Linked DNA regions of Canis lupus familiaris. The protein of the gene in region 2 interacts with the protein of the main gene of each other region in a pairwise test. Links are inferred from orthologs where the notes say so. Each region holds a gene or a part of one and is shown on either strand. Other genes may lie near its edges.

The links.
Region 1: the proteins of NUP50 (region 2) and KPNA2 interact in binary tests that used the Homo sapiens proteins (3 or more experiments, as listed by UniProt). The two-hybrid records come from large-scale screens. The link is inferred for Canis lupus familiaris from reciprocal best matches to the Homo sapiens genes NUP50 and KPNA2.
Region 3: the proteins of NUP50 (region 2) and KPNA6 interact in binary tests that used the Homo sapiens proteins (3 or more experiments, as listed by UniProt). The two-hybrid records come from large-scale screens. The link is inferred for Canis lupus familiaris from reciprocal best matches to the Homo sapiens genes NUP50 and KPNA6.

What each region holds. Positions count from the first base shown.
Region 1 is NC_049230.1:14,372,380-14,375,907, forward strand, and holds part of KPNA2 (importin subunit alpha-1), read left to right. Parts: intron 1-406; coding exon 407-495; intron 496-1,287; coding exon 1,288-1,556; intron 1,557-2,017; coding exon 2,018-2,112; intron 2,113-2,209; coding exon 2,210-2,473; intron 2,474-2,667; coding exon 2,668-2,901; intron 2,902-3,160; coding exon 3,161-3,343; intron 3,344-3,528.
Region 2 is NC_049231.1:21,781,614-21,785,265, forward strand, and holds part of NUP50 (nuclear pore complex protein Nup50), read right to left. Parts: intron 3,012-3,652; coding exon 2,930-3,011; intron 1,361-2,929; coding exon 1,242-1,360; intron 241-1,241; coding exon 38-240; 3' UTR 1-37. UniProt on the Homo sapiens protein: Component of the nuclear pore complex that has a direct role in nuclear protein import. Actively displaces NLSs from importin-alpha, and facilitates disassembly of the importin-alpha:beta-cargo complex and importin recycling.
Region 3 is NC_049223.1:68,434,467-68,438,118, forward strand, and holds part of KPNA6 (importin subunit alpha-7), read right to left. Parts: intron 3,140-3,652; coding exon 3,008-3,139; intron 1,781-3,007; coding exon 1,692-1,780; intron 201-1,691; coding exon 101-200; intron 1-100. UniProt on the Homo sapiens protein: Functions in nuclear protein import as an adapter protein for nuclear receptor KPNB1. Binds specifically and directly to substrates containing either a simple or bipartite NLS motif.

The DNA.
Region 1 (3,528 bases), on a different chromosome or scaffold from region 2:
TGCATAGATTATAAGCTTACATATGAAAATCTCCAGCACACTGCCTATATAACTCCATCCCTTTCTTCCTAACAGCATATCTAAATGCAAGTGATTGAGACTGTAGGACCAGTCTTCAGACTGCTTGAATTTCATTTATTAAATTGTTTGCAGTCTCCTTTTACTGATGAGATGCTGGGATGATACTCCACAACTGGAGATTCCAGTGAGTCATATACCAAGTTTTGGCACTATTCTGCATACAAAACCATGAATAATTGATTGATAGCCAAAATTAAATGTAAGGCTAAACTTTTAGTACCTGATTATAAATCTAAAAATGTCTTCACAATGGCAAGTAAGGATTTTATTGCTTATATTTAATCTTAAAAGAGATCATTTGAAATTAGTCACACTCTCCTTGCAGGGCACTGTAAATTGGTCTGTTGATGACATTGTCAAAGGCATAAATAGCAACAATTTGGAAAGCCAGCTCCAGGCTACTCAAGCTGCTAGGTAAGTCTTTTCTGCTATAGCATGGGTAACCTAAGATATCAGCCCTTTAGGATTTTTTGATGGGAAAGAGACAGATGGCACAGTAAAATGAAGGTTAAGTTGGTCATAAGGCTGTTTGCATTAGAATCTTCCCTTAGGTGAAAGAAAGTATGATTTTTCTATAATTGCCTGAAGTCCTACTCACCCCCGCAGTGATAATTGCTATTAACCTTTTGGTGTACTTTTTGAGTAAATTAACAGTTTTTGTCAAGGTGGCACCAACCAAGGTTGGTATAGAGAAAGGAGGAATTACTTAGTAAATGGGATTGGCACATCCATGGGCCCAAACACATGGGTGTGCTTACTCTTAACTTTTATCAAATACAAATATTTGTGACATCCATTAACAGAAAGAATGAGTAATTTCTGTATTTTGACAGTGTACTAAAAAACAATCCAAGTGACAAATAACGAAGGAAAAGATGTTTAACCTCACTAGTAGATAAGGAAACACAAATTAAGAATGGCAGTGTAATTCTGTCAGTTTTAAAGTAAAAAGATCTAAAGTAGTTTTCTGGGGGAATAGCAAATTTCCATTATTGGTAATATTTTATTTTGGGGGAAAAAAGGTAGTTAAAGACACCATATGTGGTCATACTATGCAACCAGTCTGTTCATCTCCCTTAAGTTCCGGGATATGTCAACATATAGTGCATTAGCTCTAAACTCTTAAGTTGCATTTTAAATTGATTTTTACACAAACTACTTTTGTTAATCATTTTCAACTTTGTTTCTTTTTTTGTTTACCCTTAGGAAACTGCTTTCTAGGGAAAAACAGCCCCCCATAGACAACATAATCCGGGCTGGTTTGATTCCAAAATTTGTGTCCTTCTTGGGCAGAACTGATTGTAGTCCTATTCAGTTTGAATCTGCTTGGGCCCTCACTAACATTGCTTCTGGGACATCAGAACAGACCAAGGCTGTGGTCGATGGAGGTGCTATCCCAGCATTCATTTCTCTGTTGGCATCTTCCCATGCCCACATCAGTGAACAAGCTGTATGGGCTCTAGGAAACATTGCAGGTACTTGGATTTAAAATTCTTTGGACTGGGATCCCTGGGTGGCTGAGTGGTTTAGCACCTGCCTTTGGCCCAGGGAGTGATCCTGGATTCCCAGGATCGATTCCCACATTAGGCTCCCTGCCTTGAGCCTGCTTCTCCATCTGCCTATGTCTCTGCCTCTCTCTCTTTCTGTCTCTCATGAATAAATAAGTAAAGTCTTTTTAAAAAAATAAATAAAATTCTTTGGACTATCTCTGATCATACTGAGGTTGGGAGAAGTGCCTTGTCCATAAGTAAGAGTGACCTGTGTGTTAAGATTTAAACTTGTTTGCTTCCAGTGCTTATCAGGGCTGCTAATGGCATATAAGTAAGTTAGGGAATTTCCGAGAGTATTGTGTTTGCGTTAGGACACTGGTGAACTCAGTCATTGAATATTGATGGTGCTAGACAAGTAGGTTATAATTAACCTTGCCTTTTTTTAGGTGATGGTTCAGTTTTTCGAGACTTGGTTATCAAGTATGGTGCAGTTGACCCACTGTTGGCTCTCCTTGCAGTTCCTGATATGTCATCTTTAGCAGTAAGTTACTAATAAGTTAGTTTACTTCTTGATTCTTATTTTTTCCCACCCCCTGAAAATACACAGGAGTTCTCACTGCATTTTTCTTTCCCCTCAGTGTGGTTACTTACGTAACCTTACTTGGACACTCTCAAACCTTTGTCGCAACAAGAATCCAGCACCCCCGTTAGATGCTGTTGAGCAGATTCTTCCTACCTTAGTTCGTCTCCTGCATCATGATGATCCAGAAGTATTAGCAGATACCTGCTGGGCCATTTCCTACCTTACTGATGGTCCAAATGAACGGATTGAAATGGTTGTGAAAACAGGAGTTGTGCCCCAACTTGTGAAGCTTTTAGGAGCTACTGAATTACCCATTGTGGTAAGTTTTTAACTTTTAGCTAAAAATATTAAACCTTAAGCATGGTCAGTTGATACTAACAATTGACATTGCCTATTTTAGGCCATGATGGGCCTCTGATTTGTCAGAACCTTTATAGAGTTTTTGAGCAGTGCTGGAAAAAATAAAAGATAACCACTGGCATCAACTTTTTTTTCTTTTCTTTTTCTTTTCAGACTCCTGCACTAAGAGCCATAGGAAATATTGTCACTGGGACAGATGAACAGACTCAGGTTGTAATAGATGCAGGAGCACTTGCTGTCTTTCCTAGCCTGCTAACGAACCCCAAAACTAATATTCAGAAGGAAGCTACATGGACGATGTCAAACATCACAGCTGGTCGCCAGGACCAGATACAGCAAGTTGTGAATCATGGATTAGTCCCATTCCTCGTTGGTGTTCTCTCTAAGGTAATGAAGTCTTAGTATTTAGTCAAAGAATGTTAGTATTTATGGATGGACATTTGGTAGAGCTGTGCTTGATAAGATTCTTAATGTGCCAATATTGGATTCTACCTAGAGTCCTTTTGCTAAATAGTGGCCAGTAACCTCCTTCACTTAAGATTAGATGGAATCTGTTGGTAGTTAGAGTTGTTTTTCTATAACCATACTTTTGGGATCCTATTTTTACAATTGTTCTGAATTAAACTTGTTTCCTTATGCTTATTAGGCAGACTTTAAGACACAAAAGGAAGCTGTATGGGCTGTGACCAACTATACAAGTGGTGGAACAGTTGAACAGATTGTATACCTCGTTCATTGTGGCATAATAGAACCATTGATGAACCTCTTAACTGCAAAAGATACCAAAATTATTCTGGTTATTCTAGATGCCATTTCAAACATCTTTCAGGTAAGTTATAAGGTAGCATTTGAACTTGGCCTTGATGGTAATGGATGATATTTTAACCCACGGGAGGGCAGCTAAGTTTGCTCAGTAGGCCACAGAATTAGAAAGGCTGCTTATGTGGGCCACACTCTTGGTAAGACGTGACAAGGGATTATAAGAGATTTAAAGGAGATGACAAGGGGATGACC
Region 2 (3,652 bases):
GGCGGGGGGGGGGGGGGGTCCTGCGGGCTGAGTGCGCTCAGGCATCCTTTTTCTCCAGTAAAATTTTGTGCAACTCGTCCGCATCCTCGCCCGTTTTTACCCGGATTAACATGGTGACTGGGGCGGCGGCATTCTTCTCATCGATGGGCGGATTTGGAACGCACACGATGAGGACGTTGTTCTTCCCTGTCCGGGTACATGGCATGTTGGGTGGAATCAGGACATTCAGCAGTATGTTGCCTACATCCAAACAAAGGGGAAAGTACATGAGAATCACGTAAACCGCACGAAAGGTCCACGACCGCAGCTTCACGTGCTCCACATAAAATCCAGAAACCTACGCTGAATGGACCCAGGACCAGAGCCATCAGCAGGGTGGTGAAGAGGGGGATGGGTGCCCTGCCGCACACGCCAGCACTATGTCCCTCAGAGAGGGCCAAGGCCTCACCCTGGAGCCACCGTCCTCTCCCACCCTCCCGTGTGCCGTCGCAGCAGCCAGCCCTGTCTGAGGTGTCCATTCTCGCAGTAAAGGAGGAACACGTTAGCACGACCTGGAGCCTCACCAGGTCATTGGAACAAATGCAGAGTGGTTAGTGACAAAACCTCTCTGTTGCAGAGCCAGCACGGCTGACTGGGTAAGAGCGCCATCACGGTGACAGCATCACCCACGAGTCAAGCCCACAGGTAAGAAAAGCGCTGCCCAGAAGTTTCTGCAACCCTGCCAGCAGGACCTAGTGTCACCCATCACTTCCTCTTCAACCCACCCTGGCCCCCAGCCCCAGCTCCTCCAGGCACCCCGACCCTGCTTCCAGTGGGTTGTTCTCAGGGTGAGGCTGGGGCGAAGGGGAGCCCGCAATGTGTTCATGGTCATTTCCTACACAAAGCAGATTCCTTTAAATGGTTAATTCCCCTTCTGTGTTTATTAAACCATCCAATTTACCTATAGCTTCCTAGTCACATTTCTAACACAAAGTAAAACAAAAACCTGGTTACAAAGTAAAACAAAAACCATCCTGGTTACTTCTTTTAACACATCTACATTTTCTTACACACTGTTACGCTGGCACTCAATTAAGTCGTAAATAATCAGTAAATACAGGATGGATTTGATCTGAATGACTGCTATTCTATCCCCCAAAGCACATCAATATCTGAAAATCCCAATGACCAGAATCAGCAAGGGCTTTTACATACCATGTAGTTAGCGTTATCTTGTGCCACCTGAGAAACAAGATACCCACCTAAATTGGTGTCCGCCCGCACTAACAGTTGTGTCTTCTGATTCGCTGTAGGTTTTAAATGCAAAGTACCCACACCTTTCTCTTTAAATTCGTTGTCTTTCTTGTAAAAGAGTTTACACCTACGGAGAAAAAGAAGAGAGGCCATCAGATACTCAACAGACAAGTTTTCTAAGAATCGCTGTTCACATTGAGAGGAAATCTTTGATTCAGACTGAGTCTGGGTACAAACCAGAAGAAGAAAGTCTGGTTATATATTCTAGGACCCCTGCCTATTTCTCCCAACTTAAAAAAAAAAAACACTTTCTGAAGCCACCTATTCTCAATTCAGTCACAACCACAGCTGAACACCCTAACCTTTCTGATGTGCCCCTTTGGCCCTGAGCTCAAGAGGCTGACCTGAACAAACACAGGACCCTCTGCCCCGTATCTCTCTTCCCCTTTTTCCTATTTATTTTTGAATTTTCTTTAGGACTCCTCCAATTTTTGATCTACCAAAATACTGAAAATTTTGGAAAACTCTCATGGGCAAGGCCTGACAATAATATTATCAAAAATCTCCCCAGCTGTGTCGCGCATCCCCTTAGGTTGTTAATACACCAAGTAAAACCACTGTCTGCTCCTTTAATTTATTCTAATTAGGAAAAAAATCTTAAGTCAGAGTCACTCCTTTATGTCACCTGCATAATTAAATTTAAAGAGCAAAAGGAGGGCAGCCCGGGTGGCTCAGCAGTTTATCACCACCTTCAGCCCAGGGTGTGATCCTGGGCTGAAGGTGGTGAACCCGGGGTTGAGTCCCACGTCGGGCTCCCTGCATGGAGCCTGCTTCTCCCTCTGCCTGTGTCTCTGCCTCTCTCTCTCTGTCTCCCTCATGAATAAAATCTTAAAAAAAAAAAACAAAAAAAAAACAAAAAAAACAAAAACAACACCAAAGGAACTGTTGGATTCCTAGAAGTTCTCAGAAAGAATTACACTTGGGAATTCCATAGGCTATGGTGATTGTTATGAACACTGCTGACTCTGAAATTTCTGTATTTAGGAAAATACATTCAGGGAAGCTTCTAAAATGACACAATTGACTCTTTAAATACGTTTGTTAAAAAGTACTAATTTCATTTCAATGGGATGAGATAATTCAAAATTTCTCCTTAGCTTTCTTCTGAAAGCGACAGCTCTCATATAAGAACAAGAATAAACACAGAACCAAAACCACTCTCATCACGGGGTTGTGGGGGGGACAAAGGGCCTATCAGTATGCAGAACTTTTTGGCTGAGAAAACCCACAAAAGCCAAACAGACCTCCAAGAGGGAGATGATGCCTCCCGAGGAGGAGCAGTAAAAGTAAAAAAGCAAAGGTGAAGCCAACGACGAGGAGACTTTGTACAGGAAGGAGATGGGGTTGGATGGTCAAAGAAAAGCCTGTCTCTAAAGGACTGTAGAAGCCAAGAAAAAACAGAAATACTAGAAAAGAGTAGAAATGCCTAGCAGAAAACTTCTAGAATCTGTTTGTTTTCAAATGAAGGGTCAAGATTTCTCCCTCGGTCCTATCCCAAGAGCAGGCACAGGCTGATCCCTGGAGCCCCTGGGACAGGATGCTCAGCAATTTCTGTGGGGATGAGGTCACCCTGGAAGCCACCTTCCCCATCTCTGAACACACGCTCACCACGTAAGTCCCCAGGACTCTTACTCACTTTTTGGAGTAAAAAGCATCTTCTTCTTTTACTTCAGTAACTACTACTTTAGGTGGCTCATCATTCTCTTCTTCATCTCCGCCTTTTATAAAAACGACACTAATTCAGTAAAATTCAAATCAACATCTTTAAAATGCTAACAAAAGAAGTCATCCATCCCCCAACGCCTCAACCTAAATTTTCCCTATAAGCAGGTACAGAAATTGAACACACACACATCTAATGGGGGTGGGAGGAAGGGGGCTCACTGGATTTTATTTTGTGAAAAATCAAAATGACTTTTAATGGGAACATACTTCTCTCTCCTACATGTTAATTTGTAGAAAGCCCTGGAATAAAATATTGTCGATGCTCATGATTCAGTGCACAAATTTTAACAGAAAAATCAACACCCACATATACTCAAGATCTCCCACAGAAAATGAAAATCTCAGGCTTCTAATACCTTTGTCCCCAAATTCTCACATGACCCTGTGTGTGTCATACTAAGGAATGATCAGTATCAGCAATGGCCAAACAAGAGGAAGACAATAAAACTGTTAATGGGGCAGGTTGTCAGAGAAACCAGCCCCAAGAGTGAGCAAACTGCCTCTGCGTGGCCCCACCTTGAGAGGCTCGGTACTGGGTGCCCTCCCTGACGGAGTCCCAGCCCCAGCCCGAGCCCCAGCCCAGGGGAGATCCAAGACATTGATGCAAACTAGCCTCCAGAGAGACGGTCTCAGG
Region 3 (3,652 bases), on a different chromosome or scaffold from region 2:
CCCTAAGGGGTTCCCCCCAAAGACTTGAAAGTTCCCTATCAAAATGCTTGCATGTGAAGGAAACTGCTTTCATTCAGAAACTGTTAAGAAACTCTCTCACCTTTGCAAACTCTGGGGGTGGGTTCTTTCCTCTGCAGAGGTTTGATAGAGCCCAGACTGCATTCCGTGTCATTGTCAGTCTTGTGGACTTAGTAAGGAGTCTGAAGGAAACAGCAAAGCCAGACAGATCCTGAGCAATGATGACCTTGGCATGGGGCTGTCACCTATGAACCCCAGGAGCAAATCCAGTAAGACCCCTAAGACTCTGGCAGCCTCACTGTGTTCTTCTACCCACAGACCTAAGTAAACTAAGCTTGTTTGGGCCAAGAGGCCAATCTACACCTTCACAGAGGATTAGAACCAGCTGTGGCTAGTTAGGACCATAGCTTGTAAGGACAAAGAGCAAGCTGGAAGTTGAGTAAGACTGCAAACCTTTTTAAGATAGGGCATATTGTGCTCCTAAATGGCCACAAGTTTTTTTTTTTTTTTTTTTTTTTTTTAATGTTTATTTATTTATGATAGTCACAGAGAGAGAAAGAGAGAGAGGCAGAGACACAGACAGAGGGAGAAGCAGGCTCCATGCACCGGAAGCCCGACGTGGGATTCGATCCCGGGTCTCCAGGATCGTGCCCTGGGCCAAAGGCAGGCGCCAAACCGCTGCGCCACCCAGGGATCCCCCTAAATGGCCACAAGTTTTAAACGACGAGTATACTGTTCTCTTTGGAAATCAATGCTGAATATCTAGTATAAGGGCTTTAGCCATGCAGTAAGCAATGACTTTCTGTGAAAGGCCCAAGAAAGAGTTATAGTGGTAGTCTCTGAAGAACAGCTCATCCCTGGGCAGCCCTGGTGGCGCAGCGGTTTAGCGCCCCCTGCAGCCCGGAGTATGATCCTGGAGACCCTGGATCGAGTCCCACATCGGGCTTCCTGCATGGAGCCTGCTACTCCCTCTGCCTGTGTCTCTGCCTCTCTCTCGCTCTCTCTTAATGAATAAATAAATAAATCTTAAAAAAAAAAAAAAAGAACAGCTTATCCCATCTATTGTTTAGATACTCTATTTGAAGGGTATGGGAGGGAGGGATTGGAGAAGGATCCCTATGTCTTTTTTTTTTTTTTTTTTAATGATAGTCACAGAGAGAGAGAGGCAGAGACATAGGCAGAGGGAGAAGCAGGCTCCATGCACCAGGAGCCCGATGTGGGATTCGATCCCGGGTCTCCAGGACCGTGCCCTGGGCCAAAGGCAGGCGCTAAACCGCTGCGCCACCCAGGGATCCCCCTATGTCCTTTCATGGTGTCTTTAATCTGTGGTTTACAACAGAGCTCTCCAATGTACCTAGGCATAAAATAACAAATTAATGCATCTGTAGAGAAAGTTGCATTTTTCTATATGGGTTAGTCTTGCCTCTCTCTCCTGGCTCAACAATGAGGCAAGTAAGTATGACCAACATGAGAATCTACTGTGCAATGAAGAAAGGAAACAGAAGCTCCTCCTTGGCACAGACCAGTGGCACAATCTTCTTACTCTCAAAAAGAAATACTTTTAGTGTTTTTTTGCATTTACTTAACATCTTAAGGTAAGCTGCCCCCAAAGGATCTACCACATGGCTGCCTTATAGATGATGTCCCAGGTATAGATGATCATAATTACTCACGTTAACAAAGGATTAAGGATGGAACAGTTCAAGACGTAATCTCGGCAAACGGAGCTGTCTCCAGCTATGTTTCCCAGTGCCCAGACTGCCTGAAAAGGGGATGATGGAACTGTCATGCAGAGACAAATGGCTTCTGTCCATATTTTATACAAGAGTGAGGACACACCAATAACTTAGACAAAAACCATATCGAGGCCTGAGATATCCTGAACAGGATCAGGTCCTCTCTTTGCTGACGTCCTTACTGAGCTTGCTCTATGAAGGTCTTTCCTCGGAGAATTTCTGATTTAGTGGGAAAGACAGGCTGACATCCGTACTGCAGCCAAAGAAGCCAAACCAAGACCTCCCTATGCCTACTTCCCAGAAAAAAGAGAAAGTGAGAAGTTGCATTCCTGCAGCCTCACAGGATCTATCCTATATGTAGTAAGTGAGGAAAAAAAAAAAATCTAGGCGCCACGTTCTACATTCTATCCAATCAGTAAAAATCCACTGGAAGAAATTAAGTTGTCTTAATCACTGTGATATCTAGGTACTGATAAATGGGTACTGTGATGTTTTTGTTTTTTTCCCCCCAATACCACCTCTGATGCCAAATATGTGGAGTTTTTTTCTACACCAGCAATCAATTCTCCAACACCATTTGTATGTCCAACAATCCAACTCAATTGTGACACTCTTAGACTTAGTGCAGACCCTACAGGTTAAGGGCTCAGGCCCATGAGACTGTCTCCACTTCAGACACCAGTTGCAAAAAAAACAAAAAACAAACAAACAAAAAAAGACACCAGTTGCAATTCCCAAGTGTTGCCATGCTTCTGACCAACTGGCTATAAATTCAAAAGTTCCCATAATTCCCTTCTTAGGTTCAGTAATTCACTAGAATGATTCACAGAACTCAGGGAAAAACTGCTTACATTTACTAGCTTACTCTAATGGATACAGCTCAGAAGAGCTAAATGGAAGAGATGCATAGGGCAAGGTATGGGGTGAGCAGTCAGGGCGGTATGGAACTTCCATCCCCTCTCTAGGGCACCACACCAATGTGTTCACCAACCCAGAATTTCTCTGCAGGAGGCTGGGATAGAGGCATTGGTAGAGCTGGGAGTTCTGATAACTACTCTCCTCATGTTGAGGTTGCCTAGGGGCCCCACTCAATCATCTCATTAGGTGTGTTCCATCATAAATAATAAAAAACACACTCTTCACTCAGAAAATTCCAAGGTTTTTAGTAGTTTTTAGGAACTGGGTACAAAAACCAAACTTTTTAAAATTATAATATAGGTACCATCAGGAATTAAGCCAAATTTGGGCGTTACCTGTTCCTGTACATCCTCAAAGTCCGAGTTAAGCAGCTCTATAAAAATGGGGACTGCCCCTGCTTCAATGACAATCTTCGTCTGCTGAGAGGTTCCAGAGGCAATGTTCGTTAGAGCCCAGGCAGCTTCAAACTGCAAGTGAGATCAGACCGCTATTCAGAGATCATTCCAGAGTGGCCATGTCTGCAGCTGGTTGAGAGCTGTAAGCCTCTTGCCCCTGACCAAAAAACTAAAATATGAGCCTTTTCCTCTTCCCCCTTATTTTTATCTTAAGTAGCCTCCATATCCAGCATGGAGCCTAATGCAGGGCTTGAACTTACGACTCTGAGATCAAGACCTGAGTTGAGACAGAGTTGGATTCTCAAATGACTGAGCCACCACACAGGAACTACTTCCTCTTACTTTTTAAATAGCAAAAAGCAGGGGCACCTGGCTGGTTTCAGTCAGTGGAGCATGCAATTCTTGATCTTGGGGTTGTGAGTAATCACTACACTTAAGTGATTACTTACAAATAAAAATCTTTATTTAAAAACAAATTTTTAAAAAAAGGGATGCCTGGGATGCTCAGTGGTTAAGCACCTGCCTTTGCCCCAGGGTGTGATCCTGGAGTCCCGGCATCGAGTCCCACATCAGGCTCCCGGCATG